Medicago truncatula: one gene and its partners. The protein of the gene in region 1 binds, or shares a complex with, the protein of each later gene. Links are inferred from orthologs where the notes say so. Each region holds a gene or a part of one and is shown on either strand. Other genes may lie near its edges.

What was found. The genes of interacting proteins can lie anywhere in the genome.
Region 2: serine/arginine-rich splicing factor SR45 (region 1) and U1 small nuclear ribonucleoprotein 70 kDa share a complex: the UniProt entries of both Arabidopsis thaliana proteins name them as parts of the spliceosome. The link is inferred for Medicago truncatula from reciprocal best matches to the Arabidopsis thaliana genes SR45 and U1-70K.
Region 3: serine/arginine-rich splicing factor SR45 (region 1) and serine/arginine-rich splicing factor RSZ21 share a complex: the UniProt entries of both Arabidopsis thaliana proteins name them as parts of the spliceosome. The link is inferred for Medicago truncatula from reciprocal best matches to the Arabidopsis thaliana genes SR45 and RSZ21.

Annotation. Positions count from the first base shown.
Region 1 is NC_053043.1:34,991,953-35,002,645, reverse strand, and holds the start of serine/arginine-rich splicing factor SR45, read left to right. Parts: upstream 1-6,652; 5' UTR 6,653-6,758; coding exon 6,759-6,949; intron 6,950-7,414; coding exon 7,415-7,495; intron 7,496-9,014; coding exon 9,015-9,103; intron 9,104-9,455; coding exon 9,456-9,502; intron 9,503-9,586; coding exon 9,587-9,667; intron 9,668-9,763; coding exon 9,764-9,923; intron 9,924-10,018; coding exon 10,019-10,256; intron 10,257-10,334; coding exon 10,335-10,409; intron 10,410-10,512; coding exon 10,513-10,629; intron 10,630-10,693. Other genes in the region: protein NARROW LEAF 1, read left to right, coding at 2,226-2,714, 2,804-2,947, 3,851-4,091, 4,189-4,689, 5,305-5,741. UniProt on the Arabidopsis thaliana protein: Involved in 5' and 3' splicing site selection of introns, and may bridge the 5' and 3' components of the spliceosome. Isoform 1 is required during flower petal development and isoform 2 is involved in root growth.
Region 2 is NC_053049.1:35,602,140-35,612,492, forward strand, and holds the start of U1 small nuclear ribonucleoprotein 70 kDa, read right to left. Parts: upstream 4,188-10,353; 5' UTR 4,016-4,187; coding exon 3,926-4,015; intron 3,750-3,925; coding exon 3,635-3,749; intron 3,528-3,634; coding exon 3,448-3,527; intron 2,785-3,447; coding exon 2,709-2,784; intron 2,589-2,708; coding exon 2,524-2,588; intron 2,443-2,523; coding exon 2,380-2,442; intron 907-2,379; coding exon 825-906; intron 734-824; coding exon 571-733; intron 1-570. UniProt on the Arabidopsis thaliana protein: Mediates the splicing of pre-mRNA by binding to the loop I region of U1-snRNA.
Region 3 is NC_053049.1:29,284,559-29,295,490, forward strand, and holds the start of serine/arginine-rich splicing factor RSZ21, read left to right. Parts: upstream 1-6,745; 5' UTR 6,746-6,882; exon of another isoform or gene 6,883-6,904; intron 6,905-6,998; 5' UTR 6,999-7,009; coding exon 7,010-7,098; intron 7,099-7,899; coding exon 7,900-7,988; intron 7,989-8,116; coding exon 8,117-8,360; intron 8,361-9,345; coding exon 9,346-9,471; intron 9,472-9,587; coding exon 9,588-9,594; 3' UTR 9,595-10,932. UniProt on the Arabidopsis thaliana protein: Probably involved in intron recognition and spliceosome assembly.

The DNA of each region.
Region 1 (10,693 bases):
GCGGTCCACGTCATTATTTTTTATTTTTTTTAAAAAAATTGATTTATTTTTTTTTTCAAATTTTTAAAAATTTGAAAAAAAAACTGAAAATAAATAAAAAAATCATAAAAAAAATTCCAATTTTTTTTTTTTGAAATGTGAAAAAAATAATTGGAAATTAGTGTTTTTAAAATCTACAAATAAATTTTTGAAAAATAAAATTAAAAATTATATAATCTCAAAATTTATAACTTTTGAAAATATAATTTAATTTTCAGAATTAAAAAAAAAAATGAATTTTCGTCAATTTAATTTTTAGTTTTTTTTTTGTTTTTTAAATTTATTTTCAGATTTTTTTAATTTAAAAAAAATGAATTTTCAGAATTTTGAAGAATTTTTTTTTTAATTTTCAGTTTTTTTTATGATTTTTATATTTATTTTCGGATTTTTTAATTTAAAAAATGAATTTTTAGAATTTTGAAAAAAAAAAATTTTTAATTATGTGGCATGACACGTCAGCGCCACGTGGCAAAAGTTGCACAGTCAGCAACTGCCACGTGGCCAAAAATGTTGCCACATCACCAGCGAAGTGGGGCCAGGGACCTTTTTAAAACAAAAAAAATTTTACAGGGATGTAATTAAAATTTTTTTTTTTACAGGGACGAAAATCAAAATTCGTCCAAATTACAGGGACGGTTTGCATATTTAAGCCAATAACCTATTATTATGCTCATTCCAAACTACCCAGATACAAAGGAGCCAAATTAATTGCATAAAAGATCAACGCTCCCTCAGACCACCACAATAGTTAGTAAACTGGACAAAATGATTATAAATACTATGATGGGCTACATCGAAAACACCTATCCAAGATCGAACCTGCTGCCAAAGAGAACTAGATATATCACACTGAAGAAACATATGCTGAGCTGTTTCGACCTGTCCACATCCCGCCAAACAAGATGTGCTTGCACCTGTGATAATGTCGCGGCCAAGAAGGTTGTTTTTTGTCGGCAACATGTCACGAAGTAAACACCACGCCAAGATATATAAAAATTGATTTATTTATGTTGAATTAATTAATAAATGTAAGTAATAAAATAAAAGAAAAAGAATAAACTAAAAACATGCAATCTGTCTCGACACCCCCAGCACAGACAGACAGACACTGAGCTGAGGTGACTTTACTTTACCACATTTCTATGCAACTTTGCATAGAAATTTCTGAAATTCAACTACAGTAAACTCCGTCCTCTCTCAATTCTCCATCTTCTCTACAGATTCTTCAAATGAACTCTGTATATCAATGAAGGAAGCTCTTCCACTTTCATCTTCACTCCTCAACCGACCACTAACACTGTGTATGTTCAAATCATGTTCTTTTTTCTGGCTTTTCATTTTGTTCATTTTTTTTGCTTTTTTACCTATCTGGGTCTTTTTGTCTACCTTCAAAATCTTAGCTTTTTGTTTTTTTTAATGTTAAACTGAAAAACCATAAATACAACAAGGATATGCCTTTTTGTGGTTTGTTGACCTTGATTTGTTCATGAGAGTAAACAAAATTGTTTTTTTTTTTTTTTTTGTGTGTGTGTGTGTGTGGATGAAATATTCTGAACTTGAGCCTCGTTGTTTTGCAATGTTTTTAACATGCTTGAAACTTAGTTTAGCTTGTTTAATTATATTTCTCATGGTAAATTGATTAATTTAATCACTTTCCATGTGCTTGAATATGACAATTAAATTGTATAAAATTAGGTTCTGTTCCCAATTCCATTGAGGGAATTATTCTTTATTTATTTTATCTATTTATTTTGTTCATTACTTGAACTGTATTGTTTTCTTAAAAGGATGTGTTAATTGCTTAACTTGATAAAAGAACGTTTTTTCTTAAATTGAGTGGGGAACATCATAATTATGCTCTACTTGGAGTGTATTTTTGTTGTTGTTGATGCAATGAGTTGCTCCTGAACCATTTTTTTTTTTTTGCATGCTTCTATTATTATTACTTCTTTAAAACAACCTTTATTTATAAATTAGTATAAGTTTATGTGTTGAATTTATCTCATGAGGTTCCCCTTTTTTTATAGTAACATGTTTCTTTTGTACTAAAATAATTTATAGTTCTTTTGCCATAAATTGATGTTATTTCTCACTGTCATGAGTTTTGAATTAAACTAAAGACTATATGTGCTAAATTGATGTTTTTTTGGGTTCAAAATAGAACATTGCTTTAGGTTAATCAAAAGATGGAGCGCCCAAGACTTAACTCGAGGGTTCGGTGCTCTGGTTCAACTCCCTCAGAAGAATCTGCTTTGGATCTTGAAAGGAATTGCTATGGTCATTCTAATCTACCTTCACTTAGTCCACCGACGCTACAACCTTTTGCTTCAGCTGGACAGCATGGTGAAAGCAATGCTGCTTACTTCTCATGGCCTAGCCGTTTGCCTGATGCTGCCGAAGAGAGAGCAAACTACTTTTTAAATCTACAAAAGGGGGTCCTACCTGAAACCCTTGGTCGTCTGCCGAAGGGGCAGCAGGCAACCACATTACTTGAGCTCATGACAATCAGAGCATTTCACAGCAAGATACTGCGTTGTTACAGCCTTGGAACAGCGATTGGTTTTCGTATTCGGAGAGGTGTATTGACAGATATTCCCGCCATTCTGGTGTTTGTTTCCAGGAAAGTTCACAAGCAATGGCTCAGCCCAATCCAGTGTCTTCCTACTGCCCTTGAGGTTCAGCTTTAACCTATATATATAGATATTTGTTGTGATCTCTAGTGTCTGCTGCTGCAGTTAAAATAGATGTTTAATTTGTGAATCAGGGGCCTGGTGGAGTATGGTGTGATGTAGATGTGGTGGAATTCTCATATTTTGGTGCACCTGAACCAGTTCCGAAAGAACAACACTATACAGAGATTGTGGATGACTTGCGTGGAGGTGATCCGTGCATTGGTTCAGGATCTCAGGTGTTTTTTTGCTCTCTTATTTAATGTTTCCTATGGAAACAAATCATCTGGTTTACAAAAGAATTTTTTTGATTTGATTAATATCGCATGCATGTGATGATTAAAGAAGCATTTTTAGCCTAATACTTGGCAATCTCTTCCACTAAAAAATCAGAGTGTAATTACTGCACTATTGTCCTTAATTTATATCATATTCATATGCTGTAGTGGTTTGTCCTAGGAAGCTTAGCCATGCCTACACGAGTCTAACGTTGCAGGTTGTGTATGCAAATTCAACAAAACATCTTTTGTCAAGATTCATTTAACTTGACATAACTAATAAGTGCATGGACTTGACCTTCTACGATAGACTCGTGGAGATATAGCTATTAGATTCATAATTTCTTTAAATTTTAGACCTTAGATTTCAAGCTTCATCGTGTTACATGCAGTATCTAGTGCTTCAATGAACCTGTTTTTATATCTTTACATGTTTTTAATTCTCATATGGTACCTGTAGACGGATGTCTATGCTACTAAACAATGGTTTTAGTATTTTAATTGGAACTAAACCTTAAATCTGGTTTCCAATGCCTTTTCTTTGGCAATCTCATTATGCGAATGTCATTGGCCAGACATTTCGGGATATTTTCTTTCAGCCTAATCTCTACCAGTTTATATTTCAAAATTTTCTGTCCTGAATAAACAACGAAAAATTTAGGGAGGCCAGAAATATAGATCTTGTGGTTTTATCGGGCTTGTCAAAAGAAGTCATTTGAGATATTTAAAGAGTGAAATTACAGGGTTTGCAAAATCTCTTGCGATTGCCAGCTTGCAGAGTTAATAGCAATATTTCTCATTCTCATTTTTCTGTTCTATTTGGTGAATATGTTCCACCTCTGACCACTTACTTCCTTGGTCTAGGTGGCAAGCCAGGAGACATACGGAACTTTGGGTGCCATTGTGAGGAGCCAAACAGGTAGCCGACAAGTTGGTTTTCTCACAAATCGTCATGTAGCAGTCGATTTAGATTATCCAAATCAAAAGATGTTTCATCCTCTTCCACCCACATTGGGACCCGGGGTTTATCTTGGGGCAGTAGAGAGAGCAACTTCATTTATAACTGATGAGCTCTGGTATGGAATATTTGCCGGAATAAACCCAGGTAACATAATTTCAAAAGTCTGATTGATTTAATCTGATTACTTGCATTATTTTCGCTACACATACTCATCACATATCATGATGTGTTTCCCCTCCAGAGACGTTCGTGAGAGCCGACGGAGCATTCATTCCTTTTGCTGATGACTTTGACATGTGCACTGTTACTACCTCAGTGAGAGGCGTTGGAGATATCGGTGATGTGAAAATTATTGACCTACAGTCTCCAATTAGTACCCTTATTGGAAAACAAGTAGTTAAGGTTGGAAGAAGTTCTGGCTTGACAACAGGAATTGTTTTGGCGTATGCCCTAGAGTACAATGATGAGAAGGGTATATGCTTTCTAACAGATTTTCTTGTTGTTGGTGAAAACCAACAAACTTTTGACCTTGAAGGAGATAGTGGAAGTCTCATAATGTTTAAAGGTGACAACGGTGAGAAGCCACGACCAATTGGGATCATATGGGGAGGGACTGCTAATAGGGGCCGCCTTAAGTTAAAAATTGGGCTACCTCCGGAGAATTGGACTAGTGGGGTTGATCTAGGACGTCTTCTTAATCTACTTGAACTTGATTTGATTACAAGTGATGAAGGACTTAGAGGTTTGTCTATCTTTCACTATCACTATCACTATCACCATCATCATCATCGTTATTTCAATTTATAATTCTCAAATACGGGGTTAGAACTTATATTAGGTTGTTGTTCTCATATATGAAATTGTGTTGATGCCTATAGGGCATAGGGTGGGTAATTGAATGAATTAATCTGATGATATGATTTGGTAGGGTAATAGTGTGTTTAGCTATGCATTGATCAGCTGTATTCTTAAATGTTTCAAAAACCAGATTGAACTGTCCAGTTCAAACGGGAACCGACAAGTTCGCTGGTTGGTTTGATCCCGGTTTTACCACAGTCTGGTTGAACCATAGTCAAACACAGTTTGATTCAACCACACACATTTTAAATTTATATTTTATTCATCATTTGGTTCAACCGTGATCTCTGGTTCGATTTTTAAAGCATTGTTTTCTTGTTAAAAACCAACTAGCATATAATCATTTTTTTTTTTAATTTACTATATTCCTATGTTTCTGTCTCCTAATAGTGAAGATAGCATTGAAAATGTTGAAAACAATTTTCTATCAACTGATCAGGATTATCTTAATGAAGTGAAACTAGAGGTTAAATTCTAAAATCAATATCTTTTTGTGTAGTGGCGGTGCAAGAACAAAGGACTGCATCGGCTACATTTATGGGCTCTATTGTTGGTGATTCCTCAACTCCTGATGGTATGCATCAGAAAGATAGAGTGGAAGACAAATTTGAGCCTCTTGGTCTTCAAATCCAGTCTATTCCCTTAGGAGTTGAACCTAACAGCCAGGAAATGAAACCATCAACCATGGAGGCTGAATTTAAATTAGAAGACGGAATCAAGGTAGGTGGTCCCAGTATTGAACATCAGTTCATTCCGAGTTTCATCGGGCGGTCACCGTTGCACAAACACACTGTGCATGACAAAGCTGCAGCAGCAGAGAATTTATCTTCATTGAGGAATGACTGTAATGAAGATTTATGTGTTTCGTTGCAGCTGGGTGATAATGAAGCAAAGAGAAGACGTTCTGAGGCATCTACTAGTACCGAGGAACCTTGATTAAACAAATTATTAGCTTAAGCTTGAAAAACTGACTTGTTATAACAGTTAATCACCCTGGAATGCGTTGTTTATGACCATTGGGAATTTGGGATACTGTATTTGTATGATTTAGCAGCTTTGACAGAGGCTAATGACAATGATATCAGTGGAACTCACAATATGAAGTTTTAAGTGAATTGTGGACAGAGGGCCATTCAAATCTTACTATGGTTTAATTTATGTTGTAAAGTTACTTTTCTCATTAACGTGTGCAGACTTTGCCAAGAATGTGATGGCTTAGAACTGACCTAAAATGTTTTTAGGCTTAAGGAAAGAATATGAATGCAAAAAGCAACCTCAAAAGTAGTCCTTTGTATTGAGCAAAAAAGGATTTGGCCTTCTAAATCATTCTTTCCGCCATTTTTTTTTAAACTTGGTATTTGGGTCTAAGGATATGCTAATTTGAAGGATAAACGTCGTAATGACTAACGAAACAATAAATGTTGACATCTAAAGTATTCAAACTTGAAACTCTTACATAAACACACTCGCATAATTATGAAAAAACATTCGTCCAAATTTATTCATTCAAATGAAAAATAATTATGATGTTATTCAATTTTTTTTTCTTTTGAAGTTAAATTAGCCCGCTAAATTAACACCGGAGATAATCCACTCTCATGTTTTTAAGTTAATACCACCAGCCTAACCCGAATGGAAAGGGGTGTAATTTTCAAGAAATAAGTGGAACTAAAAAGTAAGTCTCAAATTTTTATTTTAATTAATAAACTTGCTTGGTTATGATGATGGTTCCATGAATGAAATTAACCCATGAAACTCGGGTAAACCCGACCCATTCAAACTTCATCCTGACCCATAAAAAATGGGTAAAAATAAAATAAAATAAAACTAAAATCTGTATCGTTCATTCATTTTCTTTCTTTCTTTCTTCTTACCTCGATTCACTCCACACAAATCCAACACTTCACTACCAGCTAGGGTTTATAGAGGGTTTCACGCTCTCTCTCTTCAACAATGGCGAAACCTGGTCGAGCTCGTCGCTCACCACCATCAGGTTCCGTCTCCGGATCTTCTTCTCTCTCCTCCTCTTCCCGTTCCTCTTCTCGCTCCCGCTCCCGTTCCAGATCCTTCTCTTCCTCTTCTCGCTCTCCCTCCCGCAGTTCCAAGAGCCGTAGCCGTAGTCCTCCTCCTCCAAGACGCAAAAGGTACATCCATCCTTCGATTCAACTTTAATTCTTGCCAAATCGTTCAAATTTTGAACCATTAGAAAAATCGAAGTCAATTTGATTTTTTGCGTAGAAGAACATGCATGAAAATGTTCAAGATGAAAACAATTATGATTTTCAGATGTTAATTTGAGAATGTCATATTTTTCAGTTTTTAATTTTCAATTTTGAGTTCGGTTTAGGTTTTCAAATAGGAGAAGTTGGAAATGGAAATCTGCCCAGTTTTAAATTTTAGTCCAAATTATTGTTTTGATGAATATGATTTTGATCACTGTAATGTAAATGTGGTTAATTGGTGTACACTGTACATTATATTTTGAACTGTACGCACAAATCACGGTTCTTTTGGTTAAATATTTCGTGGGAGTAATTTCCATGTTGTTGATTTTAGTAAAGTTTATATTTTTCAGTTCATATTGATAGGGTAGTATTTTTGTTGTGTAGTTCTGCTGAACCAGCTAGGCGAGGTCGATCTCCTCCTCTTCCTCCACCTCCACAGTCTAAGAGACCTTCTCCTCCTCCAAGGTAAACTCATTTCAAATTTGCTATTTCAATCCAACTTTTTTCTAGGACACTTCTTGTATTTGTGTATGTCCCTCGTGGAGATGGAGACTGGGAGTTTTTATTACTAATCATATTTTTCATATGCCATATCTTGACGTTGGAGATATGAAATTATTCTTTCATTTTTGCTTTTTATATACTATATCTTAACTCTTGTTGAAGTTTAGCATGGTATGTCTTGTTAGGTAATAAGATACAAACTAGTAGTGGAAAACCGCAGTAGCCAATTTATATTGTCAACTGTTAACAGTCTACTATATATTGAGGTCATCACCGACTAAAGTGATATATGTAAGATGGCCAGGGATATGGATTATATACAAGGTTGTCAAAGTTGAGATTCTGCATAGGATTGGAAAAGGGGTAAAAGATTGTAAAACGTGAGATCACGAGACAAAGGATTGTAATATAAACATGATAACAAAATTATTTAATTAATAAGTATAGTAATATTTCTTTTAAAACTCAAGTCAGAATTTTGATGTTTATTTTGTAGTTATTGTATTGTTGAAATTTCTAAATTTATTTTATATTTGAATGTAATTATAAAAGAAGGGATATAATGGAACATTATAGCACAATTATAAAAAATCCTAGTCACATGTTAGCAAGAGATATAAGACTTAGATAGATCTTATAAAACTTAGGCAATCCTCATCTTACATGCTTGTTTTATGTCATTAAGTTGAATTTGCCCAAAATTTAAGATGGTATCTTAGATCTGATGTTCGACCACCGACTATATTGGCCACACTCCAAACTCAGTAGTGCTGAGCGAGGATGATGTGTATTAGAAAAACAGCGTCCGCCATTTACTAGAGATAGTGCTTCATAAGATCTTATGAAGTATGGACTCTCCACACTTTATAAATTAGTTTTGTGGGGTTGAGTTAGTGTTGGGTGGTAAAGAACCAGCACGAGAGTAAAATAAGTGTAGCGGAGATGAGAATGTTTCATTCAGAGAGAGAGAGAGAGAGAGAGGGAGGGAGGGAGGGAGGGAGGGAGGGAGGGAGAGGGGGAGGGAGAGGGAGGGAGAGAGAGAGGTGTAGCGGAGATGAGAATGTTTCATTGAATGTGTGGTATGAGTGGACATGATAGAATTAGAAATGACAATATGAGAGAGAGAGAGAGAGAGAGAGAGAGAGAGAGAGAGAGAGAGTAAAATAAGTGTAGCGGAGATGAGAATGTTTCATTGAATGTGTGGTATGAGTGGACATGATATATGTAGCGGACCCAATTTTCAAAATACTGAATATACATTGGTTAAGTTTGTTTTTATAATTTTCAGTGCGGACTTTTTTCATCATATCTTTAAGATGTGGTAAATTTGTTAGAATATTTTTTTATTTTTCATCTCACATTTTTAAATTTAATTAAACATGCTGTGATTGTGAGCCTTCTAAGTTCAACAATTGACAAGTTTTCTTTCGATTTGTAACTTCTATCTTTTGCTATGTTTACTTATCATGCTTCATCTCAGGAAACCTTCTCCTGTACGTGAGTCTCTTGTTCTCCACGTTGAGAAACTCAGCAGGAATGTCAATGAAGGCCATTTGAAAGAAATTTTCAGTAAGTTAAACTCTTTCACTTCTGCTTTCGTCTTCAACTGTGAATCGAGATACATTTTTCATTTGAAACCAGTGTCTCATGGTATTAGGATCCAAAATTTAAGCCCAATGCAATTTTTCTGTTTCTTTTATTTTAGTTTTGATCTTTTTGTCATTTATACTTCAATATAAGTATTCATATTATTAACTGGGAGCATAGTTGCTTCATATCTATGCATACACTCTTGAAATACCAATAATCGAGAGAAACTTTTTAGTAGCCTCTAGTAGCTTGTGTGTGTAATTGGAAGGGAACTTTTAGTGACCTTTATATCTTAAGGAGCTCATATCCTCTTTTGCTGACCTGTTTTCAGGTAATTTTGGCGAGGTTGTAAGTGTGGAGTTGGTGATGGATAGAGCTGTAAGTTTGCATTTAATTTGGCATCATAGTTCTAGAAGAATTTAGAGTCGTAGGTTTTTAAATTTCTTTTAAAAAACTTTCCAGGTTAATCTTCCAAAAGGATATGGATATGTGCATTTCAAGACAAGAGGGGAAGCTGAAAAAGCATTATTGTACATGGATGGTGTAGGTTGCTTTTGCCCGAGTTGGATTAATTTCCACAATCAAGCTTGTTGGCTGCCGCATTTGGAAATTGATGCCTTTGTTTTTTTTGTTATGCAGGCCCAAATAGATGGCAATGTTGTTAAGGCAAGATTTACTCTACCTCCAAGACAGAAAGCTTCACCACCCCCAAAAGCTGTTGCTCCAAAGAGAGATGCACCCAGGACTGATAATGCTGGTGCAGAAGTTGAAAAAGATGGGCCAAAGCGTCCAAGAGAATGTATATGCTTGATATTTGTTGAACATTTTTTTGTTTTATATTTATCATATTGGTGGTTTTTATATTGGTATTGAACTAATTATTCATGGTACCAGCTTCTCCTCGGAGAAAACCTCCTCCCTCACCACGAAGAAGATCTCCTGTGCCTCGAAGAGCTGGATCTCCAAGACGACCAGAATCTCCTCGCCGCCGTGCAGATTCTCCTGTTCGTCGTCGATTAGACTCTCCTTATCGTCGCGGAGCTGGAGACACACCTCCTAGGAGGAGACCTGTGTCTCCCGGAAGAGGTCGTTCTCCATCTCCACCACCAAGGCGCCTTAGATCCCCTGCAAGGTTGGCTTGTGATTGCATGCATGTTTTTCATATACAATTTCATTATACAGCCGACTCAATTAATTTTCATTTTTGTAGGGTATCACCTCGAAGGATGCGTGGAAGCCCAGGCCCAGGTCGGAGACGTTCTCCTCCTCCACCTCCAAGACGCCGGTAACCATATTTTGAGTGCTTATTTTCCTCGTTTATTGTTTTTCAATTTGCATTTTAACATGCCATTGATTGCTCATTGGAAAAATAAATGTTTTTTTTATAGTTCACCTCCTAGACGAGCCCGTAGTCCTCCTAGAAGATCTCCAGTTGGTCGTAGGCGTAGTCGCTCTCCAATACGTAGATCTGCACGCTCACGCTCAAGATCATTCTCACCTCGCAGGTAATTTTGTCTCATGCAATATCTCAGTTCTCTAAAATGATTTATTTTTTTTTAGCATAATAAT
Region 2 (10,353 bases), on another chromosome or scaffold:
GAGTTGAGCAAACCAATGCCATCATGAACCAAAAATGTTAATGCAAACAATTCTTGATGCAAAAAGTTTCAAATTCAATGTGAATTTACTGCTTCAGAATTTGGAGTAGGATGGTTGGGTTTGGAGAAGATAGACGGGTATGAGCCAGATATTTCCAACAGATGAACATAATATTGACAAATTTACATGTACAGCGAACTTGATAAATGTTAACTAAATTCCAAACACCAGAACCATACAATTGTCAGGTCCACCCAGGTGAGGAAATAATTGTTGCAAACATCTCAAATTCGCAGTCAATTACAACACAAATATGCATATCATAGAACAAGGTCATTTAAAAATGTTTTCGGTTTTCAAATTTAGTTGTAATAATTCCTCGGGTTTAAAATAAGTAATAAAAGAAATTTATGAAGCAGCGACACAAACACATCAACGCCGGTAAAAATTTGAGAAAAATGATTTAATTTAATGTAAACAGTGTAGGTGTCGAACAACAAACTCGCCTTCAATTTGAAGTGTCAATACAACTGAGAATAAAATCCTATTAAAAAAAATAATAATAATTACCTTCCTGAATGTCGCTGATTAACTTCATCGCCCCCCACTCTAGTAGTACCAAGCCCACCACCTAGACGGCGGGGTCGCCAATTTGGAACAGTTCTCCCACGTTCAACATCCACAAGCACCCTCCTACCCTCAATTTTCCTACCATCAGCTTGTTTATAAGCAGCTGCATAATTAACGATAAATATGACTTCAGCAAAATGTTATATAAGTATATATAGTAATAATCAGACATATGTTAATAAATCACTATCAACCTTTCATGTCTCTTGTGTGCAGGTATTCAATGAATGCATAACCCCTGGGCTTATTTGACTCAGCATCAGTAACCAGCCGAACCTAAATCATAAGAAAATGGAAGGGAAAAAAAAAAAAGCATAGTCAGAAGAGAACATTCTGGTAATCAGCTCAAAAGAAAATAACACAAGATGATCTCTCATATTCTCACTTCAGAACCAATAAAATACCAACACTAATATCCTAAATGGCACGGCAGACAGGCTCTATGCCTAATTAGCCGTGCTCACCTTTAAATCATACAGCTCCCATCGTGAGATGCATCACCACCGGCAATAGTTGCAGAAAAACTGATGTATTTGGCCCAATTAACCAGGTGTTGACTAGTGTCCCCTTACCAGGGATATTAATTTTTAAAATTGATAAAATGGAAACAACTCTGGGTAATATAGAAAATACCATAACATCTTCTCAACAGCTGATTTTGTTTTGATAGCCTTTAAAGCCAAAAATAAAGTTATAGCAACATCAAATGTAGGCTAACTAAGAATTTAATAAAAAAGGGAAGAGATTGAAATACACCCAACATATTTTACCCAGTGCAGGAAAAGAACAGAAGTTGTCAGTCTCCTTTACTTGATCGAAAACAAGGCCAAAGGCACAATTTTGCATATTGTTCTTACCAACTAAAATACCATGCAGGAGGAAGCACTTGAATGGAATTTGGGTTTTATTGTTATAGAATCAACCATTACCAGGGATGTGGATCGAGATAATCAACCATTACCAGGGACGTATATTAAGATGATAAACCATTACCAGGTGTTTGTGTCAAGGGGGGAGCTACAAACACTCTTTCTAACACTCTTTAATACCCACTCTCTTATTGGATGAAATTCATGTAAGTACCACACTTTGGAAATGGGTCCGACATAAAGTGGTGAGGCCCACATGAGTTTCACGCAATAGGAGACTCTGATCGAGAGTGTGTTAGAAAGAGTGTTTCTAGCATTTCTCGTGTCAAGATGTTAAATTTGCAGTTAAAAATTTCTAGAGACCCAAAGCCCCAAGATATCCCATCCATATTATATTAACAATTGGAATGGAGCAAAGTGGAAAATGACAAAAGAAAATAAATAAAAAGCAATCAACAACAAATTGGTGGAGCAACCAAAAGCATTGATTATTACCATTTCAAAACCACTAAAATTGACAAATTAAATCAGGAACGTTCGTATTCTATACCCTTGAAACTTCGGATAGGATGAGATAGATATTACACATAGCAGACTGATTTCCTGATAAGCTATTTAGTCATGAAAACCTCTCAAGTCACAAAAAACATTTTCTTCAGTGGCAAAAGGAAAGGTATAAAGATTGTATTATGCTCAAATAGCTAGTATTTTGTTTTCTGCGATACATCACTGTATATGGAAATTGTTGAATTTGAAAATAATACAGTTTGAAGGCTCAAAAGTTGTAAAGATGTCAAAAAGAAGTAAAATAGAGTAAGTTTTGAACCACACATAGATGATAAGCTTACCGAACCCTTTTGAACATATTCAAAATACCTACCCGTTTGATTGCACCATATGACTCAAACTCCCTTTTGATTCTGCTCTCAGTAGTCTCATAACTCTGTTGGAAGATGGAATCAATAAGATATGACAAGCAATATGAAAAAGCACAGTAGTTACTCTATTGGAAAATATAACTTACAAGTCTGGCCACGAATAAAGTCTTGTATGGATCTCCTGATATATTTGGATCGTTGTGTGGATCATCTACATTGAAACATATAGAAAAATATTCAGATAACATAATCCACAAAAATCAACAAATATTCAGATAACATAATCCACAAAAATCAACAAATTTAAAACAGTATATATAAGAGTCATCACATTTCTCAAGCTCCTCAGCAGCTTTTGCAGCTCCCTTCTCCAGTCTTAACTTGTGCACTCTTGCCCTTCTTTCTGCCTGAGTATACCAAAATGGATCAGCGATTATGCCTTTATTATACTCTTCACTATTGAAACAAGGGCTTTGGCATTTAAACTACTTTACTGCTTTTATATGCCAATTGCTACATTAACTATACATTATAATAACCACTTGTTTAAGTAAATTGAAGAAAAACTGGAACCTGGTAAAGACTGAATATGCAATAGTAATTGTATTTTTCAACTAATATGTTGAGTACCCAAACTATCTATTTGTTATTCATGACCACAACATTGATTCGGATATTTTCTTAGAACGAATTAGTACCGTAGAAAAAAGCAGGCGCAATGAGTCAAATTTAGCCAGTTAAACATTGTGCTTGCACAATATTACACAGTAAAACTTAACTACAGAATATAGCAGCAACAAAACACTTCTGAGGACAAATATTTTTTTGCAAACTAATAATTAGTTAACTTAACTGTTTTCTTAAGGACATCTTCTAAAAAGCATAATAAACTTTAAAAGATATATGAAAAAATAAATATACTAAAAAAAATATAAACTCATTGCATCAAATCAACCCACCAAAGACATGCCCGACAAAAAAAAAAAAAAACACTCAGTTACGAAACTATGCTTAACACAATTAAAACTAATAATTCCAGCATGATTAGTATCAAAAGAACAGAACATTACAGGAGTTTCAACTACTGGCACAGGCGGAGAATATTCCGGTTCACCAGGTTCAGCAAATTTGCTCACAAATTGCGCCATCCCTAAACAAAAAAACATAAAACGAAGGATTAATTGCATAATTAACTATAATTAACATCAATTCACAACAAATGATCATGTAGACCTAACAAAAACAATAATCAAACACCTGTTAACGGAGGACATTTTCGTTTCTCCGGTGGAGGTTTATACTCCAACGGCGGCCTAGGTTCAAATAGCTTCAACAAATTCGCAGTCAATCCAGTTGGATGACTCTGTCCAATCTGCATCAAATCAATTACAATCAAATCAAATTAATCAACAAAAATTAACTAATCTAATATCTAGGGTTACGAACAATAAACCCTAACTATTGAAAATCAACAACAACTTCGTTAATTATGAAGAAACTTAGGTCAAATTAACAACGAAAAGTGAGGGAAAGAGTATGAATCTATACCAGTTTGAGTTGAAGGACGTTGGCGCGGTTCTGAGCTTTGGTACGAGCTTGAACGGCGGCGTTTTGGTTGCGCAGAAGAGGATCTTCCATGGTGAAGATTCGATGAAATCACGAGAGAATTGAATTGATGAGATCGTTAGATCCGGTTTGCGTCTCGGCTATGAGCGAGCGCTAGCTGAATCTCGAACCTGACTGCTACTGAGAAGTATTTATAGTGAGGGGAGGAAAAGTACGCTTTTTAAGCATAACATAAGTCTGTTTTGGAGGTGTTTGAAGAGTCACAAAGGGCTAATAAAGATTTAGGCTTAAATATTTTTTGGTCCTTTATTTTGAAGTTTATATTGGTCTCTTATTAAAAAAAAAATATAGAAAGATCTTTTAATTTGTTTAATTGGGTATCGTGTTAGTCTTTTTCATGCGAATTCATGGTTTTGAAGTATGAGATTTATGTGAATTTGTGTTGGATCTATTCTCTATATCATTGTTCAACAATTTCAAAAAGGAATAATGATGATAAATCTCGTGATTTTGACATTTTTGCTCATACAGAAAGAATATTGACGTCAATCTCTAATTTGGAGTGAAGAATAGGGGGATATATCATATATGGGTTCCAATGAACCTTAATTTTGATTTATAGGAGAATTGATAAAGTAGGAAGAATGAGATGTTAACTTACATGGTCATGTACACTGCAATTAACGTTGTTGGCCTTTGATGGATGAAAAGGACCTATTTGCGCATTTTTTAAATAAGGGACCAATATGAATGTCAAAATAAAGATAAAGGATCAAAAGGGTGTTTAAGCCTAAGCTTTACTATAAGTGAATAGGTATTTTCATCCTTGAATTTGCACACATCGTTCAATTTCGTCTTCAAATTATTTGAAATAACGAAAATTTTCCTAAATTTTGCGAACGTCATGCCTCCGTCAAATCTCACCGTTAACAGTGATGACATATAACGTTAAGCACTAACGTGAATTGCAAACTCAAATGTCATGTATTCGATGAGGAAATTGATTGAAATTGTGAATTCCTTTTTTTTTTCCTTATTGAAATAAAAGTCATTACAAATTGTTGCAATGTCAAATCGATCCCTAAATTATTCATTGAAAATCAAGATCGTCCTTGAATTATGTCACTCGCTATCAAATTGACTTCTAAAGTATTCATGTTAACTATCAAACTGATCTCTGATACTCGCAAATAAATGCTAAAAATTAAAATAATATGTTTAACGGTTATTTATTACCTTTTGCATATTTGAAATGAAGTTTCATCCATGTTGAACGTAGCATCAAAGGTCGTCAGGCAACAGTGTTGAAAACCAATTCAAATTATTTGTTTTCGCTAGTTTACCATAAAAAAAATAGACAATTTAAATTTACCATAAAGAAAATAGACAATGAAGTAGAAACTAGGACCTTTTTAAATTTGCATACACATTGCACGTAAAGTATCCATTGATTATCTAATACAATTTTATGTTTTGTTTGTATTTACTTCCATGGGTAACACATTATTGCATGCCCTATCGCAAACGGTCAACGTGTCTTCTTCTCTTGCTGTTAGCCACAATTTCAAATGAAGAGTTCTTTCATCTCATTATTGTGCCACCAAATCCCTAACTGCCACTCAACCACCAGGACTGGAACTTCTTTAAGGCTTTCGTATGCAAATTTACATTTATAATAGCATATATTTGTGGATATAGAAAACAAAGAGAATTTGAAGTGGTTTTCCACACTTTTGCATGAATAAATTGGAGGTTACGCTGAACATGAATGAAACTTCATGTCAAACATTCAAAAGGTAATAAATAACAATTAAACACGTTTTTTTAGTTTTTAGTATTTATTCGTTGACAATATTTGGAATCAATTTGATAGTTAAGATAAATAATTTAATGGTAAACTGAAAGCTTATGGTAACAATACAACAGACAATGAGTCTCACAAGAAATCAAACGACGAGACAACAAAAGAAGTGTTTGTCATTGAAGATGCAAATGTTGAGGAATATCACAAAAATCCTTATGAGTTAATGTTTTAATGATAACAAACTTAATTAAACATAAGATCAAAGATGGTTCTTATATGTTTTGGTTTCTTACAAGTTTCTTTGAGTGTTCTTTATAACATAACTGGAGAGTTTTGCATCTCTATATTAAAATTCATTTATAGTAAACATATTTTGTTTTGCATTGGTGCTTATATATAGAACAATTATGGTGGGATACGAAAAACTTCAATCTCATGTTTAGATACTTGTGTTGGGATTTCTTTAAAGTACAAAATATTTTTTTTAAGAACTAAGGTGCTCCAACTATTCATACACCTTAACAAATAATGTTAAGTATACTATAACAAAAGAAATGTTGCAATCTAAGCATTTATATACTAGAACATACGAGAAATAAAAAATACTAAACAATAATGACCGGTTGCAAATGAGGTGAATTAGGTATAAAGGAAATTTTACTCTTAACATATTATTTACCATTATAAGCAACATAACTATTTTTTTAAGAAGTGTACATAACTCAAACGAGACGGATGTAGGAGATCAAAATCTTGATCTATAGTTGTTCATAAAACATAAATGTGAAACAATCACAACATTTGTAATACAATCTACATGTAACATTAATGAGTAATGAACTATTTTTATAATTTTTTTTTATCTCTAATTCAAAAAATAAACAAACTTGTGTAATGCTAAAGTACATACTACATACAAAAATATTAAATAATTAATGAATAAAATTAGTTTGTATTAAGTTGCACTGTGTAAATGTGAATCTCAAACACTCAAAAGTCCCCAACAGTGCTCCAAAACTAGCACGTTCATTCTCGTTTGTCAATAACAACACACTACACTTCTTATCAAGAATTGTTAATATTATTCTCTTTGATTTGATTTGATTCAGCTATATATGTATAAGAAGTGTTGCTTCATGTTTCTAGTGCTCACGGCTATCAAATTATTGACTTGACATTATTTGTTTTCTGAACTTTGTCATATCTGTATTGTAATAAGGCGTTGTCAATTTTTTTCACTATCAATTACTTGATCTCTCTCACAGGAAAATGCACAAGCTCAAAAATACCAAAACTAGTAAACTGATAGAGAAACATGGAAACCTCACAATTTGTGCAGTTCTAACTTCTAACTTATTAGCTTAATGGGATAAAGCAATATACACATGTCTATTCAAAAGCTAACATTTGCAGCTTTGAAAAAATCATGTTGAAATCACATATCAAAACGCAAGAGAAATAAAAATGGGCATGTAACTAAAAATATAAAACTAAAGATTTAACACTTTATCATCCTAAATTTACCTAGGAGAGTTAACTATGTTTTCAAACCCAATGGTGATTCATTCTGCAATAAGCATCAGTAATACAAGTAATATAAATAATGACAACTAAATCATTTTTGTCTACTTAGTAAAATAATCATTTACATAATGGTAAAACATTTTCTTTTATGGTTTTCTTTATGTTCAAAAAAATAAAGTTCCGATCATGTTTCTGTGAGCACACAATATAATTTTCATTTTTAAAAAATTCAACCTCAAGTTATAGATGGTCAACTACAAAACCATCGATGCTCATGAGAAAATTGTTGGAACTGAATCTCTTCAACAATTGCCTCAATCTCAACTGCAAATGTCAATATATCTTCATGAAATTCTCTCGCAAAATGTATTGAGATGGTTTGACTAGTTGGGGATATCATCTTATCCTCTAACAAACGGAGCACTTTCAACAAACAAATTATCTCAACAATCGACCTATCAGGTATTTCTATAGGTATACCTTGTTAATAATAATTATAAACAAAAAAGTAACAAATCAATAAATTTCTTAACTCAACTCGAGTTACAGTACATTTCACAAATTACAAAACTTGTTACATTTCCATAGAAAGTGGGAGATCGTGAATGCAATAGAAAAAGGACAAGAAAACATCGGCAACAACAGCTAGCACTAGTTCAATAATCTTCAGATCAGTCATCAGAAAAATCTTATGACTACTATTCTTAAGATCAGTCATCACTTTCAAATAAAAACCATTATTCGTAATGCTTTCAAATAAAAACTATTCTTCGTAATGAAGATTTAGTTTTCATGAGTTCGGTTGTCAATCAAAAATTAATCATAATTCACCGGTATTTTAGTGTTGTGTTCATTTATAGTAAACATATTTTGTTTTGCATTGGTGCTTATATATAGAACAATTATGGTGGGATACGAAAAACTTTAATCTCATGTTTAGATACTTGTGTTGGGATTTCTTTAAAGTACAAAATATTTTTTTTAAGAACTAAGGTGCTCCAACTATTCATACACCTTAACAAATAATGTTAAGTATACTATAACAAAACAAATGTTGCAATCTAAGCATTTATATACTACAACATACGAGAAATAAAAAATACTAAACAATAATGACCGGTTGCAAATGAGGAGAATTAGGTATAAAGGAAATTTTACTCTTAACATATTATTTACCATTATAAGCAACATAACTATTTTTTTAAGAAGTGTACATAACTCAAACGAGACGGATGTAGGAGATCAAAATCTTGATCTATAGTTGTTCATAAAACATAAATGTGAAACAATCACAACATTTGTAATACAATCTACATGTAACATTAATGAGTAATGAACTATTTTTATAATTTTTTTTATCTCTAATTCAAAAAATAAACTTGTGTAATGCTAAAGTACATACTACATACAAAAATATTAAATAATTAATGAATAAAATTAGTTTGTATTAAGTTGCACTGTGTAAATGTGAATCTCAAACACTCAAAAGTCCCCAACAGTGCTCCAAAACTAGGACGTTCATTCTCGTTTGTCAATAACAACACACCACACTTCTTATCAAGAATTGTCAATATTATTCTCTTTGATTTGATTTGATTCAGCTATATATGTATAAGAAGTGTTGCTTGATGTTTCTAGTGCTCACGGCTATCAAATTATTGACTTAACATTATTTGTTTTCTGAACTTTGTCATATCTGCATTGTAATAAGGCGTTGTCGGTTTTTTTCACTATCAATTACTTGATCCTTCTCACAGGAAAATGCAGAAGCTCAAAAATACCAAAACTAGTAAACTGATAGAGAAACATGGAAACCTCACAATTTGTGCAGTTCTAACTTCTAACTTATTAGCTTAATGGGACAAAGCAATATACACATGTCTATTCAAAAGCTAACATTTGCAGCTTTGAAAAAATCATGTTGAAATCACATATCAAAACGCAAGAGAAATAAAAATGGGCATGTAACCAAAAACATAAAACTAAAGATTTAACACTTTATCATCCTAAATTTACCTATGAGAGTTAACTATGTTTTCAAACCCAATGGTGATTCCTTCTGCAATAAGCATCAGTAATACAAAATAATGACAACTAAATCATTTTTGTCTACTTGAAAATTATACAATGGAACTCAGAAAATGCAATAAGCATCAGTAAAATAATCATTTACATAATGGTAAAACATTTTCTTTTATGGTTTTTTTATGTTCAAAACAATAAAGTTCCGATCATGTTTCCGTGACCACACAGTATAATTTTCATTTTTTAAAAATTCAACCTCAAGTTATAGATGGTCAACTACAAAACCATCGATGCTCATGAGAAAATTGTTGGAACTGAATCTCTTCAACAATTGCCCCAATCTCAACTGCAGATGTCAGTATATCTTCATGAAATTCTCTCCCAAAATGTATTGAGATAGTTTGACTAGTTGGGGATATCATCTTATCCTCTAACAAACGGTGCACTTTCAACAAACGAATTATCTCAACAATCGACCTATCAGGTATTTCTATAGGTATACCTTGTTAATAATTATAAACAAAAAAGTAATAAATCAATAAATTTCTTAACTCAACTTGAGTTACAGTACATTTCACAAATTACAAAACTTGTTACATTTTCATAGAAAGTTGGAGATCGTGAATGCAATAGGAAAAGGGCCAGAAAACATCGGCAACAACAGCTAGCACTAGTTCAATAATCTTCAGATCAGTCATCAGAAAAATCTTATGACTACAATTCTTAAGATCAATCATCACTTTCAAATAAAAACCATTCTTCGTAATGCTTTCAAATAAAAACTATTCTTCGTAATGAAGATTTAGTTTTCATGAGGTCGGTTGTCAATTAAAAATTAATCAGAATTCACCGGTATTTTAGTGTTGTGTGCATTTTTATGTCCTAAGAAACAAACATGGGAAAAAATAGTTTTTTAAAAATGATTTTTATTTTAAAATGATTTCAAAATAAGTAAATAAATAAATAAATAACATCAGTATAACTTGTTTGCCCTTAATTTTTGTAACTGCAATAAATAAATCACCTTATTATATCTTGTTTTCTTTACCAATAGAAT
Region 3 (10,932 bases), on another chromosome or scaffold:
GAGGGTAAAAAGGTCCTATATTAGGGAGTATTATGGTTTTTTTTAAAAGGACGGATTCCAAATCAAAAATTTCCTAGGGGTAAACCAGAAATGACCTATTATATCGGGGAAAAAAACTATTAACTCTTTTGATAATATAATTGACATTCTCTTTGCTCTTTGATGTTGCTTTAAATTGTGTGGTGCATGTCATCGTAAGCTTAACTCAGTTGGTAGGGACAATGCATAAAATATGCAAGGTTCGGGGTTAAAACCCCGACCACCAAAAAAAAATTGTGTGGTGCATATAAAAAGTATTGTCAGATATATTATTTTTATGGTCAAGAATTATTGCCAAATTTTATTTTGTAAAAATTTTAATTTGTAAAATAAAAATGAAAAAAATTGCCTATAGCAACAGATAATATGGACCTTTTCCAACTGATAATATGGTCCTATACCAAGGGATAAAGCTATTAAATAGGTGTAACAGTCGTTGTTATAACATCAGAATTTTCTCCAACGCCATACAATTTCCGTTGGTATATATAACCTATTGAGTCGGGTATTTTGCTGTTATTCGGTACGAAGTGCCCGTTGCTATAGGGTTTTACTACCTATACCAACGGTTTTTGCTTATATGATGAATTTCTTGTAATGACAAAACTCTTTATTTTTCCAAACTCAATATATATATAGTTAGATTAGTACTTCTCTCACAAATGACATGTCACATGTGATACAATCAAATAGTAATCACCAATCAAATTGGATACACAATTTATTTAAAAAAAATAAAAATCAATTCCAATCTATGAAGCACAAATACTCTTTAATTTAGATGTGTTCAGATGTCGGACACGTGTGTCCAACACCGACACGACACCTATAATTAATAAATTATTTTATTTTTTAAAATTATTATCGGTATTAGCATGTCGGTATCTTATTATGTCCTATGTCATGTCTGTGTTTCATAGGTACCAATGTATTGTCGTTGAACCAGACTAAAACCTGAATCTGCCACAAACTCAATGATCCAATTTATCAAGAACAGTTCCAAATGGCCAATGACCACACACCTTTTAGAACTATAACATTTTCCCTTGCTATCGAGTTCCCAAAAGACCTTGCTCATCGGTCCAAAATCCAACACTATGGACTCTTATATGGGATTCACGTCAGATTGAATCATAACCCTCTGATATGGGATTTACGTCAAAAATATCACAATCACGTTAGTGTTTAGGATTTATAGTCCATTACACGTCATCTATAAAAGACACTCATCACTCTAGTAAGAGATACATGTTTTTTATTCAGTTAAACTCAACTTGAGTGTTTGAGTGCTTGCAGGTGAGCAGCCACCATGCATCCTCAGCGGCATCCAAGTAACTTTGGTAGTTGTTTTTAAGAAATTGGAGGCCTAACTCATCTTAAAAATTGGTTCATAAAGTGAGGATTGCCTCCGTCCAGCAACACTCTTTGAGCTTGGTGCGTGAATCGGTAGGTGGCCCTTGAATTCGACAGGCTCTAATACCATAATAGAAATTGTGGTTGGGCCTAACACAACCCCACAAAACCGGCTTGTGTGGTGAGGATTGCCCCCACTTATAGACAAATTATCAGGCCAACTTCTAACCGATGTGGGACTCTCGACAAAGTCCACTCTTGATCCTAAAGAAATGAAACAAAAGACTTAAATTATGAATGATATCAATAAGCATCCCAAAGTTGGACATGTCACTAGGAGGTTGATTCAAAGCACAAACTAAATTAGGGGGCTCCCTCAATCACAATAATGCAGAAACACAAGTCAAAAGAAAACTAAAGAATTGAACGAAAATCCTTAGCCTTTATTACATCAAAATCAAAACCATTACCGTCTTGAAAAGTACTGTTTTATGCGGCTATGCCCTACGTCTGATTTTGTTTGGCATGTAATAAAACGTTTACTTTTGGCCACATAATTAGAGCGATTTATGTCAGTGGATTCTTCTCATGAAACGGCAACAACAACGGTAGGTCAATTAAAAGTTTACGTAACATGTACAAAATAAAAACGTTAACGTGACATGAAGTTTTGACAATCATCTAATTATGGGGTGAATATCTAGACATTGGCAGAAAGTGCTCTACTTGTGAGAGAATTCAAGTGTTTCATTTTCTTCTTCTCCAAATCGCAATAATAAAAATAAAGCAATTATTGAGCAACATGGAAATGAATACATCTTCTAGGATCAACACATTGGCAGAAAGTGCTCTACTTATTTATTTATTTTGAAAAGAAGAAAAAAAATGATATTTATTCATTTCAATAAATAGAGTATATCACGATGGAAATGATGAATCTGTGAACAAACTCGCAATGTTCAAATTAATAACATATAACACCAATTAAAAGTGACTGGAATACCCATATATATCAATCTGCAATGTTGACACTCAAATAATTGATTAAATCGCCGATATTTCAATAAGAACATAATGAACACTGAACAACACAACGCTGCACTCAAACGACCAAATCACAAAGAAAATGAATCTAGATCTTTGTGGAAATAACTTATTTCGGTTGAAATTGAGAGAAAATGATGAAGAGTGGTGATTTCGGGTCACAAATTAACTCAAAATCACCCCTTCCATGCAAGAAATAGAAGAGAAAACCTAAATTGAGAAAGTTATGGCCGACTTATTAGTTTTCTACGTATTTGTTGATTTTGTTTTGAAAAGTAGACACGTCTTACGACGAAGAGGTTTACAAAATGACGAAAATACAAAATTTGTTTAGATATAATTCATGAGAAAGTACACACTTGTCGCGGGTGGCTCTGAAGGTGAGCAAGAGGGACGACGGCCTATGACACCATTTTTCTAGGGGCACTAATTATATTAAAATATATTAGTTCGTACAATATAAAAATATATTTTGTTTTAACTCACTTTGATTAATTATATTGAAATATATTATTAGAGAACATTGATTATAAACGAGTCCTTTGCAACAAAAAATTTAATAAGAAAAACATTCAAATAATTAAAAGGGCACAACTTGATTTATTCACCCGGGGCATAAAAAATCTTATACCGGTCATGAAGATTGTTCATACTTATATGGAGTATGGCCCCGTTGAATTTTAAAAAATAAAAAAAAATCACTTTTTTCATTTTTAAATGTTTGTTTAGGATTTTTAGAAAAATAATTCTATTTTGACCCTAAAATGAAAATTTATTAGGATTAACTTTTTTCAAAATTTATTATTTTTCAAAAACAAGGAGGTAAGACATGTACAAGTTAAAACTCTTTTTTTTTTTAAATGAATTTTTATGGATAGTAGGCAAACAAAAATAACTTAAAGATTTTTTTTAAAATTTCTAAAAAAATACCTAAATTCTTTTAACATAAAATCTATTTTTTTAAAGCTGAAACAAACATACGCTATATAATGACTTTGTTGAAATTCAAAACTCAATGTTATAAACAAATGAATGTGATTTTGTGGTTTTCTTTTCAGTGACTTATATATATTAGCTTTTCGTGTTCATATTGAAAATTAATAGCATTAAGTTGTTATTTGTTAACATAAGGTCTTTACCTTTTAGATTTGTGAAATGCTACTTCAAACAAAAAACAATTCACGAATGTATCACGAAAGGAACATGGTTACTGTAGCATACTTTCATTTTTAATTCGAGAGCGGCATTACTATTTGGATAATTACTCAAAGCATGTTTCTTTAGTTTCTTTTAGCACCTGCATTACTATTTGGTTCTTAAACAAAGAACGAACGATCTATATTTTAATATGCATTTTATTTTTTAAAATAATAAAAAAAATATTAAATTAAGAATCTGAACCGTTTGATCTCAATCTACAATTAGATTATCTTGAATGTGTCAAACCACATTACTCCACGTGCATATTTTGTTTGGACAGAACTACATGTATATGTTACCATCTGATATGGCATCTATTTGGTTTCCTAATAATGTTTTTGAACAAAAAGTTCACTTTTTAAAGTTCACGTGAAATGAGATTTCATGTTTGACTCACGACAGATAGAAATAAAGACATGATCACCGATACAATCCCATTTATAATCATCTCATATCTGGTCCACTGATAATTGGACAATTCATTTCATTCATTAAAATCGGGATACCAAATCAACTCTTTTCTTTTTGTTTTAACTCTCCAAGTTCTAAAGGAAGGAGTTATAATCCTAAATTCAGTTAAGAAGTAGGTAAGCTCCGACAAAATTTTGTTCTTGCAAGGGTTTAGACTCAGACTCTTTCAAACAATTCATCATTAACAGAAGATCATTAACCACTTGATGTCGATCATTTTGTTGATCTCAAAAAAATTCCACAAATGAATTTTCAACAGAGGGTCTAGATTCACACTAGAAATAAATAGTCAGACAATCCCTTCACAACTAGTGATCTTACTAGGCATACTAAGTTAATGTTATTGAAGACTTAAGAAAAGCAATTATCTTCCATCTTCTTTTGTTAAAGTCAACATTAACAACGTTAAACAGAGAAACGCCTCTAGTTTCTCTAAGTTTCATGAGAACGTGAATAATAACTTTTTTTTTTAATCGGTAAAATTTAATAAAATTGAAATTCTCGCAAGACGTAAAGAGACGGCAGGAAAAACAATACAAAGATGCCGCATATAGGCGTTATAGATCTACCCGACAAACACTAATTCACCGCAACCGAAAAGAAAACGGCGAACAAGCACAAAAGTTTATCGAATTAACACATACCTTTCTCAAATTGAGCAACTGCCACCTAAACCAAGCAAGCTTGTCGAAATTTATAATGCTTATGCATAGATTGTTCTATGATTTTATAATTAAGTAGATTAAAACAAAGATGCAATGAAAATAATAATAATGGCAAATTAAAAAAACCAAGGGCACATTTTGAAGAAACAAAATCCATGTCCCTTCTTTAATTTTGGCTATTTTGCATGTTAGTTCATGAACGCATACAATTCCAACCTTATAAATGAATCTCTCCAAAGACAAAACAAGCTTGGTGGATCGCACGCTCTATTGCGGCCTGTGGATACCATATGACACATGCTCACTCAAAGTCTAAATATTCATATCAAAAGGATCACTCAAGAAGGACGTCTGTCTGCAGAAGTATGATACGTTCGCAAATGCACGAATTTATCATCGTGATAAAAATATCAATCCACATAGACTTGTGATCAAGTTTATTTTTCTCCTTAATGTTTAGCTAGATTTGTTTTGATTGTTGAGAGTTTTATATTTGATTTGATTTAGAAAATATGTAATTTATAAAAGATTTGCTTTGGAATATTGGAGTTCATAACTATAAAGAACAATTCCAAATCCAATCCTTTCTAGTGTTGTAAGAAATCATTACTTAAGGATGAGGTAACTCTAAATTATCATTTGCTCTCCTTCAAGATACAAATGGTGTGTCCTACCATCATAGCTTCGTATTCTTATGGTAGTTATATTGGTAAGACTCATTGTGCCCCATTATCTATTTCATATCTATTGCTTTTACTTTGTAGTGATTATAAAATCCTGCATCATTATATAGTTATTTTAGAAGACGATATGGTTTTCAAGACTAAATCTAGTTCCGGTTGAAGCAATTTTGATGTTTAAACCACTTCAAAGCACAAAGAGATCATGCTTTAAATTTGCCTTGAACAATGAGCACAATAAATGTACTATTTATAATGTTTCTCAGTTACCATCAAATTGACCTCTATTTTTCGATTTATTACTCTATCCAAATAAAAACATTTAAAAGTGAAGACAATGCCATCGAATGATTTGAATTACATAGAATTTTAATTTCTCTAATACTCCCTCCGTATCAAATTGTATGACGTTTTGGGCATTTCACACATATTAAGAAATGCAATTAATAGTGTGGAAAAAAGATATTATGAGTTGTTTTACAAAATTATCCTTAATAAATAATATGGGAAAGATAAATGAAAGAATTGAAAGAAGAGAGAGTAATAAATAATTAAGGTTATAATAGGAAAAGTAACATTAATGTTGCATTGATATTGTAAAGCGACATATAATTTGGGATAAATTTTTTCCCTAAAACGACATACAATTTGGGACGGAGGGAGTATATTCAATTACCTCGTCCAAACTAAGGGTGTATAAAACCTGTCTCGCTCCAAATGCAAGTGACCGAGTTTGACCAGGTAAAAAAATGGACACAAATAAGGGACATTACAATGACAAAACTTAAATAGAGACCGTTTTTTAAATATTATTTTTAAAACTCTCACATTCCACTATATTCTTTAACACACAGACTCACAATTTATAATTTGACTTAATTACAGTTTTAGTCCCCCTTATTTTTACTCACTCATGAGATTTGTCCTCCCATTTTAAAATCATTCAGTTTAGATCTCTTTTACATAGTTTTGAACTTATAGTGGTCATTCTTATTGTCACATCATATGACACGTAATTCAAACTATGTCAATTCACCATCACAATTTTTTTAGTCTAAAAATAGAATAAAGTGACTAAAATCGAGTGATTTTAAAATTGGGGGATTAATTTTGCGAATAACTAAAAATAGTGGGATCAAAACTAATTAAGCCTTAAAATTTTTTGTGATGGTTTTGTGTTCTTGAAGTTGATGTTAAAAATTTGATATCTATAAATATATTATATCATATTCGAGACACTTTGGTGTTGTATTTTAAATATCTAGCCCAAAAGTGAAGAAAGTAAGAAGGGGGTTTAAAAGCAAATTATTAGAATACCCAACTAAAACTAATAAGCCCAAAACGCCATCGTTTGAAGCATTAGAAATTCTAGGGACTTAACACGCTCACTCACGATCATAGAGAATTCTGTACAATTCTTTCACTTGCAGGTGATCTCTGATTTCCCAAACTGTAAAATTTCGTACATTTTCTTCTCAAATTTTTCGTTTTTTTTTTGGGTGATGATTAGTAACTTTTTCGTTTTCACAATAATAATTTTGTACAGGTTTTGAGAGAATGGCTAGGGTTTATATTGGGAATTTGGACCCTCGAGTCACTGAGAGGGAACTTGAAGATGAATTTCGTGTGTATGGTGTTCTTCGCAGGTAATTTCTTCTTCACTCTCATTCAACAAAGAAAATTTATTTGAATTGATAGAAATATTTTCAGTTTAGGAATGATTACATTGAAATTGTGGTTAATGATTGAGTTATCAGTTAATTATTTACGTCAAGTTGATAATTATTTGTAAATTTGTTTTTTTTATTTTTTTTATTTTTATTTTTTTATAGTTATTTATTTATTTATCAATAATTAGTTCGTTATTGTCTGCATGAACATTTTTATGGGAGAAACTAATTAAGTGAGAGTAAAGAGAATGGATAATTGAAGTAAATTCAAAGAAGGCATAATAACGGTTCATTGGTTAAGATTTTGTCTAGGATAGATGGCGCCACGGGTTTGATCCTACTGCAACAGTAGATATTTTCTTATTTAGTTATTTTAATTAATGTTCTTTTTTCCAAAAAATGTGAGGAATGTGAACTCCCAAAATGAAAATGGCAGGTTCGATCCTGCGATCATTCGGCTGAAGAAAGAGTACTTTACCGCTGCTACACCATTAATTATGTTCTAATAGGAGAACACTAAAATATGTTGTAGATAAAAAATATATACAAATTATTTGGAGGTCTAGATTTATAGGCTAAATATTAATGCAAATTAGAGGCCTAAAGCCATTGCTTTAGTTGCTTTATGGTAAGGCCAGCGTTGTGATTAACAATATTGATATAGGTTTTGTTCATGAACTTAGTTTTCATTTTGTTTGTGTTACACATTTTTCATAATTTGTTCCATTATTATTGATTTAAAGTCTTAAATTTTAATTATTGTTTTTTGCAATACAGTGTCTGGGTGGCTCGCAGACCACCAGGATATGCATTTATCGAGTTTGATGATCGGAGGGACGCCCTTGATGCAATTCATGAATTGGATGGTAAGTTTCCTATTTGTCAATTTGTCATCATTGTTGAGTGTATGTTGTTGGTGATTAGCATTTGTCTTTCTTCTTTTTATGCATCATATTGAGATTTGGGGTTATCATAATGTATGAATGTCGTATAGGAAAAAATGGCTGGCGTGTAGAGCTTTCTCATAATTCTAAGAGTGGAGGAGGAGGAGGCCGTGGTGGTGGGCGTGGTGGACGCGGAGGGGATGACCTCAAATGCTATGAATGTGGTGAACCTGGACACTTTGCTCGGGAGTGCCGTTCACGCGGTGGTTCACGAGGCCTAGGAAATGGAAGGAGACGAAGTCCTAGTCCTTATTATCGGCGCCGTGGAAGTCCAAATTATGGTTATGATCGCAGGTATGTTATGTGCACACGCTTTATATGAATCCAAAAAATTCTGCATTTCAATAGCAACTTTTTCAATTAGCAAGCTTTTAGCTTTTTATTTTGTTAGAGTTTGGATTGGACGTCATTGTTAAGGAATGCAAATATCTTTGATACATTGATTGCAAAACTGTACTTTTACGCACTGATATGGGAACAGGAATTTGTTTAGAAAATGTTAACACAATCCATAACCTGCTTGAAGTTGGTGAAATAATCAACGGCGTGCATCATATCTTTTTTATTTTTATATTTTTCATATCTTTCGCCTCTATTCGAATGAAATTCAATATCTTTGCTGAGGTGCTTGCTTGTGATTGTTCTGCAAATTATGTTGGGGACAACACTTTTTCGGTTCTCATTTTTAGCGTTGTCAAATGTTGGCCATGCCGGATTGCGGTAGTGTATTTTTTGACAAACGCCCGGGGAAGATTGTGAAGGATGGTGGCGTTTTATGGCGGATATGGCAGATTTTTAGCTTTCCGACATGATCATCCATCCCCAACTTATAACACTTCTCATTTTATGTACTTCATAGTTTGCCTTTTATTCCTTGTTAATTTGGTAGATTTGTTGACTTCTTTATTGCAAGCTCTATTTAATTGTCAATTTGTATCACCATTTCACATCATTTATTTAATTGAAATTTCTCTCTGCTTGGGAAAATTTAACTGCAATGATTTATAACATTCTTAGCCTGTCCTCTCACTCAGCCTGGAAAGGATATTCATAAATCATTAACTAAAATAAATTCAACTTAACCACTGAGTGGCTGGAAAAGATCTCAATGTCAAATTGACAACATTCATAATATTTGAAATTCCTCATTTCCACTGTACAATTTGTAAGTGCATTATAATAAGCATCTCAAACATGTCATTTTGTAGCAACCATTCTTTTATTGATATATTCATCTTCTCATGTTTTGTTTTCATTTGGGTTCGCTTCATTTTATCAGGAGTTATAGCCCGCGTGGGAGAAGATCTCCAAGACGACGTAGCATAACACCTCCTCGTGGTCGTAGCTACAGCAGATCCCCTCCTCCATACCGTTATTCTCGCCGTGATTCACCTTATGCCAACGGGTACGATTGATTATGTTCAACTCAGTTTCTCTGATGATGTGATTTGAGTTAATGAATGGCATGAGAATTGAGAACTTATTACCCATATTTTAAATCTTCCCTTTTCTTTTTTCCAGAGATTAAGATCTGATTGTGAACAGAGCAAATGATGAATAATTGTTGTGGAGCCCTCTCTGCTATAGTCTAGTTTCTCTAGGATTGGGTGAGCATACAACATACATGTTAATTATGTTATGTCATGACAATGGAATGGGTATTACTATGAACTTGGATTGCTAAGTGTTGTAGCCGCAAAAGGGTGCCTTGGACACTGTTTTGCGTCGGTTGTCTCTCTTCAGCTTACTAAAACCTGAAGGTCGCTCCAGTCTTCCCTACTTTATATATATATATTGTGGTGATTTTTTGTTTTTTAGTCTTGCTAATCCACTATGGTGTTTTTTGATATATTGTCATTAATAAGGATCCTAAAATGTTGATGTTTGTCTGTTTTGAAGTGTGGGTATCGGCCAAAACAGCATTGTTTCACCACTTAGTACATCTTGTCTGCTTTTGTGCTGCATGCCTCCACAAACCTCTCATCTTGTTGCTTCTGCATATAAGTTGACTAAAACTGCAATATCAGGAAGTTGCTTATGACCTTTTTTTGTTGACTCTCGATGAATGCTACAGTTTCATCCTCCTTTTGAATTGGACAAGTTTAAAGATGGATAGATAGAATTTATTGACTTGCTGCACCTCCATGAAATCGAATCAAAATTGGAATTTGATTAGTAACTAACTGCATGTAGTGTCTGCTTCTCGCCATTCTGTGTGGTTAAATTGATGATTGCTGGTTCCAAACGTTTGCATGTTGATTGCAATGTTTCTCCTTGTTACGTCTGTAGTTTCCATGGTATTGGGGCTGCAATGACCGACATCTTGGATTTGTGGAATCAAAAAGGTTGATTCTATTTAACTAAACACGCACACTTGAAATGTCTTGCATTTTTGCTCATCCTCCTTTTGAATTGGTGAAGTTGAATGGTGGATAGATAAAATATAGATACCGACTTGCTGCATCTTCTTGAAATCCAATTGACTGAGATTTGCCAAGTGAATAACTTCACCATTCCGTGTGGTTAAATAGATGGTTGGCGCTTCTATATGTTTTCATGTCAATTAGAATATTCGTCCCTTGTTTTGTCTTTATTCTCCATGGTAAACTCTTGGGACTGCAATGATCGGCATCTTTGTTGTGTGGGATCAGTAAGGTTGGTTCTGTTTAACTAATGCGCACTCGCCTAGCGTCTTGCATCACCGCTCTGACCTTAACTAGTTTCAGCTTCCTTACTGGCCTTCACAAGCTTCTACAGTAGAGTTTTTTAGCTATCACCTTTAGCTACTGGGATCAATGTCACTAGTTGTTTTCCATCTGTGCTTCTGGTTTGCTTAATATCGTCTGTTATTATGCTGGATGGTTGA